Linked DNA regions of Arabidopsis thaliana. The protein of the gene in region 2 interacts with the protein of the main gene of each other region in a pairwise test. Each region holds a gene or a part of one and is shown on either strand. Other genes may lie near its edges.

Evidence for each region.
Region 1: the proteins of PUB38 (region 2) and RK1 interact in a two-hybrid assay, tested with the Arabidopsis thaliana proteins (one study listed by BioGRID).

What each region holds. Positions count from the first base shown.
Region 1 is NC_003070.9:24,466,832-24,473,180, reverse strand, and holds RK1 (receptor kinase 1), read right to left. Parts: upstream 4,400-6,349; 5' UTR 4,250-4,399; coding exon 2,971-4,249; intron 2,560-2,970; coding exon 2,425-2,559; intron 2,322-2,424; coding exon 2,131-2,321; intron 2,055-2,130; coding exon 1,844-2,054; coding exon of another isoform or gene 1,839-1,843; exon of another isoform or gene 1,759-1,838; coding exon 1,521-1,758; intron 1,418-1,520; coding exon 1,267-1,417; intron 1,179-1,266; coding exon 852-1,178; 3' UTR 709-851; downstream 1-708. Other genes in the region: RK2 (receptor kinase 2), read right to left, coding at 1-15; AT1G65780 (P-loop containing nucleoside triphosphate hydrolases superfamily protein), read left to right, coding at 6,293-6,349. UniProt on the Arabidopsis thaliana protein: Involved in the regulation of cellular expansion and differentiation. Mediates subcellular relocalization of PUB9 from nucleus to plasma membrane in a protein-phosphorylation-dependent manner.
Region 2 is NC_003076.8:26,047,476-26,051,933, forward strand, and holds PUB38 (plant U-box 38), read right to left. Parts: upstream 2,572-4,458; 5' UTR 2,369-2,571; coding exon 698-2,368; 3' UTR 590-697; downstream 1-589. Other genes in the region: AT5G65180 (ENTH/VHS family protein), read left to right, coding at 1-331; AT5G65205 (NAD(P)-binding Rossmann-fold superfamily protein), read right to left, coding at 3,451-3,805, 3,891-4,050, 4,200-4,458. UniProt on the Arabidopsis thaliana protein: Functions as an E3 ubiquitin ligase.

The DNA.
Region 1 (6,349 bases), on a different chromosome or scaffold from region 2:
TGGTACATTTCTCATCTCTCTCTCTCTCTCTAGCTAGGACACTTTCTTGTGTTCTGTTTTATTTTCTTCTTATGAAAATTTTATGTACATATAATTGAGAATTTTTATCTTCGGAGATTACGACATGTTTGGTGTTGAAATGTGTGAACGTCATTTACACGATTTCTCTCTATTGTTGATAATATTTCATTTTCAGCTACATTTTCTTGGTCTTCTTGTTCGCTTTTGAAATATCTATAGACTATGTCACTATAGAATTGAGTCAATGACCTTAAAAGTCGTTAAATTGATAATTATGGTTTTGTAATTTCCTAGTAACTGACTTTTCTTCGTTTACTCCAAAAAAATAATATCCTCAACCATTTGTGTGTGTGTGTACGAGAATAGACAAAATTTCAATGTTGCTGGCGACATACTAAATGTTATATGCAAGAGAATGCTTCACCGATGAATTCATAAAAGTTTAAGGTATATATTCGATTTGTTTCATAAAGTCCTCTGTTGTAATAGCCATAAAGTCCTATGTTCGCTTCCAGTATTGGTCTATTATCAGTAGTATGTACAAAAAGTGAATATTAATCATTACTGAATTCCCACTTAATTGAGTTTCGGTCTCAAACTTCAAATCTTGGAGTGACAACTCCAAATCTTGCATTTTTTTGTCTTTGTCTAAATGTTTTTTTTTTATAATTCTCGCTCTAAATCAAAATCATGTGAAACATGTGGTGAATCTTTTGTCTAAATTAAATTAGATAGAGCAAGATATCGAATCATATATGTAGTAATAAAATCTATTTAGACTTACCTATAAAATGATATGCATGTAAACAGATTGGGCCGTAAGTTACAAATTACCGAGCGTCAATGACCGAGAGAGTGATTTGGTTCACTGTACATTCATCGTCGCGCTGTGTACTTGAAGAAGAATCAGCCTCAAGAGGACTTCTACCAATGCAAAATCCAGGACGTTTAGGCTGAGGAATAGCGGTAGTTTCGCTTCCAAGCATCACCATTACCGAGGACATCACTGGTCTGTCTTCGGCTCGTTCTTGAACACACAAGAGACCAATTTGTATACATCTTAAGATTTCATGTGTCGGGAACTTTGATGACAAAGAATCGATGTTGATCGGATCTACAATCTCTAGCTCGTTTCCTTCCTTCCAATGCCTCCACACCTGTGCATAAAGGATGTAATATTTCTTTAGTGTTATAATCAGATTATGAATGCAAAACAATATCGAATTGAAGAGGTTTTTAGCTTACAAAACCGAGGAGATTAAGATCACGGTTTGAGTTGTAGAATCCTTTGTTTCTTTTTCCACTTATAATCTCTAGAAGCAAGACCCCAAAGCTGAAAACATCCGACTTCATCGAGAATATCCCGTCCATTGCATATTCTGGAGACATGTAGCCGCTGCATAACAAAATATAAACTCATATGTTATGAGGTTTTTAAGAAAATATTTGGACTTGAGATAAAAGCTCTTTTTTTGTTTTGTTGAAGAATGATTGCTTACTAAGTTCCGACCACCCTCCTTGTATTAGCCTCTGTCTCCTCCCGTCCAAAGATCCTCGCCATACCGAAATCCGAGATCTTTGGAGTCATATTTTTATCAAGCAATACGTTACTTGCTTTCAAGTCTCTATGGATAATCCTACACCGTGAATCTTGGTGAAGATATAGAAGTCCTCTAGCAATACCATTGATAATATCAAATCTCTTTTGCCAATTTAAGTTAGAGCTTCGTGTTTGGTCTACACATCCAACACAACCAACAACAAGTTAACGTTTTCACAAAAATGTTCAATTATTAGAACAGAAGCTGTTTGAGTCACTAACCAAAGAGATGCGAGTCAAGGCTTAAATTCTCCAAGTACTCATAGATCAACATCTTCTCACCCTTATCGACGCAACAACCTAGAAGCCGGACAAGGTTTATGTGCTGAAGCTTTGCAATTAATCTAACCTCGTTCATGAACTCATCGGTCCCTTGTGAGGACATTTTCGATAGTCTCTTTACCGCAATTTCTTTTCCGTCAAGTAATCTTCCCTATTACCACACATGTGATTATACAATGAAACCATGTGCTGTGGTAGATTTTCAATATGTTTTGAATCACTTTTACCTTGTAAACAATTCCGAATCCACCTTGTCCAAGCTTGTTGTCGTTAGAAAAATTGTTTGTTGCCGTGGCAAGAGCTTCCAACTCCAACAATGGAAGCTCTAGGTACTCACTTTTTTTTTCTTTGGATGTGTAACCCCTCCTAGATACTACCACATCGTTGATTAGCGAGTCTTGGCTTCTCACTTGATCAACTGTTTCATTCAGGCGTTAAAAAAAAAAAAAACAATCAAGACATTTGATTATCAAAATTTATTGACAAAAATAAAGGAAATGAAAGCTAATGATTTATTTTACCATTAGGTGTTTGAATTGTTATTGATCGCTTCTGCTTCCTTTTCCAAAAATGGAAGATGACAAAACTTAAAAGAAGCAAAATGCTCACTCCAATACTCGAACCTATAATTTTTTCATTTTTGATTCTCTTGTCCTCTGCAATAAAAACGAGGCATATATTTACTTCTATACGAAAAATATCCTTTGTTGTACGTTTGATTAAAAAAAATTAATACGAAAAATAAACAAAATAATTAATTTAACTTAAACAAAAATTCTTTTTGGTATAATGGTATTGGATCTAGCTAAACTCTTATTAATCTTTTGATCTCTAATTAAAAACAGATGACAAAAAAAAAAAACTAAACAAATTGACCAAACATCAAGAATGTACTTTGTTGACCAAAGCCTCTATAGATTAGGGAGTTTGAACTTTGCTTCGAGAGGGACAATATTACATGACTTGGTCCGCAGATTGGGAAGATATATTGACTTTGGGTCATAACTTTTTAATCAAAACAAAAAGTAAGAACCACTTTAGTAAATGCAAATAAGAAAGAAACTAACCGAGTTCAGCAGCGGCTAGTCTAACGTAAAGATCCTGACCTCCCTTAGCATAATTTCGCATATCCAAAATCTCTCTGGTCCAAATCACACAACCAGACCCGCCATTGCGAATATCCGCATTAGCGAACGCAGTGCAATTACAATCTTCTAGACACCTTTCTTTACATACTTTCAACCCAATTTCTCTGTCCACAATTGTCGCCGTGGTATCTGGCAATTTCATCCTCTTCAACCGGGTAAAACCATCTCTACCGTCACAGCTCAGCCTCGTCTTCCTCATGCAACCAGCGGAGCCATCTCTCAAGTCCCACGCTTGCTCATTCACTGGCTTAAACCCTTTGATACAATAACAATTTGGTAAACTGTTCGAGTCGCAATAACCGAAATTCCCGCACACTTTGTAGTTATCGCATAGGTCCTTCGGTGAGTACCATAGTTGCTTCCAACTCTGTGTTGTCTCAAACCAAGTCAATCGTTGTAATAAACCCGCAGAGTTTAAGTATAATCTCGAGTATAAGTTTGTTTTGTTGATTCGGTATGAGTAAGTCACTTCCTCCTTACTTGCTGTGAAATTGTAAACCATGTAATCAACTTGAATTGTCCCTGGTACGCTGCTAAAACGCATTCCATTCCATGGACCGCTGCGGTATAGTATCGACTCCTTGCTGCATATGTAAAACTCAGGGAACTCGCTGGTTTCGAGTTTTGTCGAAAACTCACCGCTTGATGGATCATCTGTTGTTTTCCAGGATCTCAAGATCCTGTTGAATCCGGTTTTCTGATCCCATCCCAATTTCATCTCCGCAAGTAAAGTATCTGTCGGAAAATCGAAACTCTGCCATAGAAGTCTGTTATTGGAGTCTCTGAGCAAGAAATTACCGTTATCAAGAAGCTCTGCAGCCACTGGTGATCTCACATCTCCTCCGGTTATATTCGTCGACCAAACAGGCCTATCGGACTGATCGAAAATGACGAGGTTATTGCCGGATATTTTGAGAGTTCCGTTGGAGCTAGAGAGAGGATTGTCTCTGTTTGCAACCCATACGTAGGTTCTTATAGGGATTATCTTGTACCATATGCCGAGATACCAACGCGAACTTGATGCGGGATTGAAGAAACCGAGCTCGAAGATTTGACTAGGAGATATAATGGTTTTGTTGCTTGAGATAGTGAGAGATTCTGTGGCTGAAAGAGTGTTTGGAGAAACAGAGAAAGCAAGAAACAGAATTAAAATGAGGAAAATGAAGAAAGAATGGTGGTAGTTTGGTACACTTCTCATCTCTCTCTAGGACAGTTTCTCGTGTTCTGTTTTCTTTCTTCTTGAGGGAATTTTATGAGAATTTGAGAATTTTTATCTTCGGAGATTCATATTATTGTTGATGTGTGCCGTTATTTACACGATTACTCTGTATATTACATTGTTGATGATATTTCATTTTCGGCTGTCTTTTCTTGGTTTTCTTGGTTTTCTTGGTCTTCTTGTTCGCATTTGAAATATCTATAGACTCTGTCACTATAGAGTTGACCTAGCAAATGACAAGAAAATAACTCGTTAGATAGACATTTACTTATCAGTGTTTTTGTAATTTTCTTAGTAACTGACCTTTCTTCGTTTACGCAAAAAAGAAACAAATCTCGTCAACACTCCTTATTTGTGTGTGTGTGTGGCCAGGCCTATGCGTGTCTCAGAGAGATATAAAACTAATTTGTGTTTTTCTCGTTATAAATAATCTTTTTTTTTTGGTTTTCTTTCCTTTCCTACGAATATCAATTCATGAAAGAAATTAACTTACACCACCAAGCTTCAACTATTTCATTCGCTAGACAAGTAAATCATTAACCTTAGACTACAAAATGACATTTGTTTGGCAGAGCTTCGTATTCGTAGTGCTGTGTGTACTGGCCATCGCATCATGACCGGTTCAATTCTATCATGGGTTCTAGAACAAAATTGTTTTTTGGCTGCCCTTATAAATTTCTTTTAAAGATTTTACATTATTTAAAAAAAATTGTATGACAGTTCTAATAAAATTTAGTTATTAAAAACAAAAGCAATACACAAAATATTTATGGGCCCTTCTGTTTTATTATTTATAAAATTTAGTTATAAAATTTATTATTTATTACAAATAATGAGACTTGTTACATAAACGATTTTACAACGTACAATTCCTTTAAAGTCACCAAAATATTGTCAATAAATATTAGGTGCAATCATAGGTTGTTGTTATTCTTGATTTGTTTTGTATGATTCTTACTTGTTCAGATCGTATAAACTCATCAATACCACTTGAAGGAGTTATCAATATTTTATTTCCATGCTTTATATTTTTAGAACTTTATCTTTTTATTTTTGCATAGAATTGAGCCATCTCATAACATTTGCTCTTAATTGATGCACTCTCTCTTTAAATGAATCAAGAAATTGTTAACTGCTATATTACCTTCAACATTTTTTTCTAATTCATATATAATTTTGTATTATTGTGTAAAATTTTGTCTTTATAATATTATTTGACATAGATTTTATTTTATGAAAATTTTGTCAATACAAATAATTATTATTAATGTTGAAGACTATGCAAATGCAAAAAAAAATAGAAATAGATTTTAGAATATACTAAATTCTATTGCTTTCTTCTTCTCTAGCTTCTCTCTAAAACATCCACGAACACATCCTCTTTTTTTAAATTAACATTATTGTCATAGCCTTATAGGACTATCTAGTCATGTTTAGCTTATGGCGTAGATAGGCTAGATTGCGAAAGCGTGTAAACCGGTTAAATACGAAACGTAATTACTTTACATAGTAGACCCGTAAGTAAACAAATAACTCAAGAAAGCCCCAAAATTTTACCATTTTAGTTAATTACTTCTTCTCCTCCTTTCCCTCCAAATCCTTACTCATCCATGTCCTTCTAAAAGAAACCTCTGTTCCTGTCTCCCAAAACCAAACCCTTCTTCGTCTCGAAGTAATCAAACTCTGACAACAACAACTCGAATTCAAAGTAAGCGGCTAAAATTTCATTGCATCATCTTCAAATTTCGTTGCCACACGCTCTAATGTTCAAGCCAACGTTAGAATTTAGGGTTTTTCATTGCGAATCTCAAAATCCTAAGACGTTGTTTACCAAAAAGAACAAAGAAGAAAAAACCTTACTTTACCTTTCAATGATCAATGGTTCTCGTAAAAATAGTTCCTTTTGCTTCTCTGTTATAGCCAAAAGTGTAAAGTTCGTACCTTTGAGGGTTCACTTGTTTAATGGGTTTTGTTGCGTTAATCTTTCAGAGTACGAAATCGAGTTTGGTAACTTTAATATAAATGCCGAGAATGCGTATTGAAGGAAGAGATTTAGTCGATCTGGTGCTCTCATGGTCT
Region 2 (4,458 bases):
TTCTGTCCTCTCTTCATTTGCAGCCGAAGCTACACAAACTTCTGGTCTAACCAAATCAAACACCTCAGACACAAATGCATTTGTTGTTCCTCCAAATCCTCAGCAGTATCACATAATACCAAATCCAGCCGCATCACAACAGTTTCCTTATGGATTTGGTAACATTCCATTAATGCCACCTGGAGCACTGCCGCCACCGCCGCCTGGAACGTTGCCGCCGCATATGATGAATAATAACAACCAACCAAATGCAGCTCAGCAACAAGCGCAACAAGGTCAGAGTTTTCATCCACCGGGTATGATGTATTTTGGACCTCCACACCATTCTTAAGGTTAGTAAAAACAAACCAAAAAATCCAATTAGTTCTAGTATTAGATAGTTTCTGACCCACTTTATTTTATTTCATGTAACGCATATTGTAGAAAGTAGAAACGAGATCTTTTGTCTTACAAATCTTGTACCTTGAGCTGTTTAGTCAATTTTTCTTCTTTGTAACATAGTTAGACTTCTATTGTGTATCTGCGTTACATTTATATCTAGTATGCGTTTGTTTCAAATGGATCTTTTATATATTGTACAAAATATATATACATCAGTCATGCTTTTTTTCTCACATATTTCAAGTCAAGTTTACAAAAAATTTCAATCACAAAACATTTTGAATGTCTACTATACAACAACAAATGGAATGGAACTTTAGAAGCCAGAGGAGTTTTGAGTGACCACTCTGTTTCTACCACCAACTCGGAATCTAGACCTAATTGAGCCGTTGGAGTCGATAACTCGGTCCCAATCAATTGATCCTTCGCCATCTTCTTCATCATCCTCCGGCACTCTTTCTCTCATCAGCTGAAGAATCTTCTTTGCTTTCTCTCTAGCTCTCTCTGTTCCTCTCTCTTCCACTTCCTTCAACACTTCCACTGCTCTCGCCTCCTTCGCTAGTCCTTTGAATCGAAGACTCTCGTGGCTCAATGCGAACAACGCCGCTACGCAATTCTCACGAGCCGATGACGATGACCGGGCCTCTGTCGGCTCCTCCGTCCACTCCTCCCTTAACTTCCCTACAAGAATCGCAACCGCATTCGCATCAAGCATCGCCGATCTTCCTTCACTACAACACGCTAAATTACAGATCACCAACAATGCCCTGCTCGCCGATTCACCGGACCTAACCATCGAGAAAAGCGCTGGTACCGCTCCAAGCCTAACGAGCTTTGATCGATTCGTCTGATTCAACGTCAAATGGTAAAGCGCGAGAGCCGAATCATGCCGCGTCCGATCACTCTCAGCTGCACGTAACGCGTGAAGCAATGGCTGAAGCGCTCCTAAAACTCCAATAGGCATTTTATTATCATCTTCAAGAGAAAGACTAAAGATTGTTCCAGCTGCGTGTTCTTGAGCTTCTCTAGACCCCGACTTCAGAACATCGATCAAAATCGGAACAAATCCTAACCGAACAATCGTCAATTTGTTCTTCTTATCCAAAGACAGATTCACAAGCGACGCTAACGCGTTCGTCTGCACTAAACTGTATCTCGAAACAATCATATTCTTCAACAAAGAAAGAATCCGAGGAGAACAAAGCGAAACCCTAGCTTCATCATTAGTACGAGTCATCTTCCTCATCATAATCAAACCTTGCTCTTGATCAAAAATCTCACTGCTCTTAAGCTTGTTGTAAATCACTTCGTCCTCTTCTGTGGCGGTGGAAGTAGAATTAGAGAAGAAAGTGTGGTGCGTTAGGGTTTCGATTTCGGAGGAAGAAGATGATGGAGATGGAGAGAAGCAAGCGGGTCTAGTTGTTAAAGGAAGAGGAGTGAATGGACTGTGAGCAACGATTACAGATTCATCAGAAGAGGTCGTGGAGTTGTTGAAATCTCTCCTTCCCATGAGTTCAGAATCAGCGTGGTGAATTATCATCGGAGCTCGGTGAGCTACAGCTCTGAGAAGCTCTTGCTCGGAGACACGAATCTCGACGTCCGGTGGAGGCATCTGTTGCCGTAAAATTCTCTCGACGGTGGAGTAATCAGGTGGCTGAGGACGTGAGACGCCGACGGTGTCGCACCAAGTATCGATTGTTGATTTCATGTTTAGGTTAGGGATGATGTTGGAGAAATCGGGTAGAGATTCTTCGTCGTCGTTGAGTTTGGGGATAAAGTTGAGGTCGCGACAGACTTGAACACAGACACGTTCGAAGGTTTGACCGGAAGAGACAACAACAGGGTCAGACATTACTGATTTTGAAATCGGACAGAGAAATTCGACCGGAGGTTGTTGTTCTTGTTGCTGTTGTCGTGAAGATGAAGAGGTTGAAGAAGACGATCTGTGGCTGAAAGGATTCCATCTGAGCCGTCCGTTTTTACCCATCTGCGACAAATCAACGGTCAGGAATTGGTGGTGAGTTTGATTTCTGAAAAGGGTTTTGGGTTTTATGGAGAGGAATTAGGGATTTGAATTCATCTTTCGTGATTTTCTGAGAAGAAGAAGAAAGATGAGAAGAGAGGAGAGTCGTCTTCTTCCTCCTGAACTGAAGGACTTTGTGGCCTACTGACTTTTTTTTTTTGGCTTTTGTTTATTTTCGAAGTGACTATTAATTTTTTTTTTAAAAACTTGAACATATTAGTAGTAATCGAAAATGTTGACTGTGAAATTAATATAGGTGGACCCAGATGTGAATTGGCTTTCATAGTTCATGCATTCTGAAAAGTTTTATTGCTTTCTTTTTCAGGTCAATTTTGTTCATATACTTTTCTTAAAAACATATCTTTTAACTTACGTACTTATAAACTTGGAATGTAATTTATCATTTTGGAATGTAATCTAATTTGTTTTAAAAGGATGACAATACAGTGATACACTGAAATATGTGGCATCAATAAGTTTAATTTTTGCTGAATAATAAAATGATTAGATTTTTCACTAAACATGATGGACATCCATGCCATTCTTAGCTTTAGGGGAAAAAAACTTTTCTCAGTTTTAGCTGTAAGCTTTACATTGAACCTCTGACCACTTTTTATCTTGTCCTCTGATGATGCATTGTTGGGTTGCAAGTTGCATCACAGATGATATGACATTTCCCCTACAAATCTTTGTACCAAAAACCAAAGTATAAGGGTAGTCTAGTAGACAATCTGGCTTTACGGTTTTATCTTGTTTCGAATTAAGTTTTACCTGTTTTATACAAACCAAAATCGAATAAAAACTCATTTTTAGTTCGATTTGGTTTTGGTTCGGCCTTTTGGATCTTTTACTATAAATGTAACATGGTTAGGCACTGTTTTTTTTGTTTATAACCAAGTTTCTGCTTAGCCACTGTTTTGTTTTTGTTTTTGCACACCCTACCAAAGTAGTACCTTGATTAATCCTTTTACTAAAGATGTAACATGGTTAGGCAACACATTTACTTTGTTGGATACATTTAAAACAGTTTCTAACCAAGAACACAACTATTCAGGTTTTACTCCCTTTTTCATAAAACTCTTAGTCAACAGAAAATCTTTCATGAAAATCGGTATATGGTGCATGATCGCCATGACTGTAGATAACCTACCTGTAGAGTACCAAGCCGGTGGGTTTTTCTTCAGCACCACGGAAACAGTCTCTTTCGCAAAAGTCTCTGTGGGTATCGGCTTTATGTTTTGCGACAGAAACGCTCTCTCACGGATAGCGTCCTCGAACGGTTTGTATAGTTTCAATTCAGGTAAATTGTTGAAACTCGATATCCCTGAGTTAGCTATGTTTGATTGAATACCTCCTGGTACAATGTTGATTACATCAATCCCAAATGGCTTAAGCTCCAACCTAGACAAACACAAAACAAGATAGTGTTTACTGTTTAGATGATATTAATCAAGCTGATGAAAAGAGACTGCTGAAATCGAAAAACCTTAAAGTGTCGGTAAGAGCATGAAGAGCAGCTTTTGATGCAGTATAAACCCCAGCCCATGGTCCTGGTGCCATTATGCTAATACTTCCTATGTTCACAATCTTTCCCTTTTTCTTAGACGCCATGTGAGGTACAACAGCTTGAGTCATCCTCATGGAACCTGCAAAGTTTCTTTACAAAGTTCAGTTCTTGAAGAGACTTCTCACAACCCAAATCAACAGAGCAAAATAAAACATGAAAGAGTTGAGTCAAGAATTTTAACAAACACATGGTGTGCATATAAGAAGTAACTCGAAAATTTTCATTCACCGAGCACATTGGTGTTGAAGGTGTAATCCATGGCTGAAATTGGAATCTCCGCCAAAGGTCCGATACACTGAACTCCGGCGTTATTAACCAAAACATCAATCTGACCAAATTTGTCGATAACTTTCGACACAACTTTACTCACGCTCTGCTCAGACTGAACATCGAGCTCTTGCACAAAGAACTTGGAATCTTTCTCCAATTCAGTCATCGTCTTCTGCGATCGACTCGTCGCCACCACACGACAACCATTAGCCGAGAA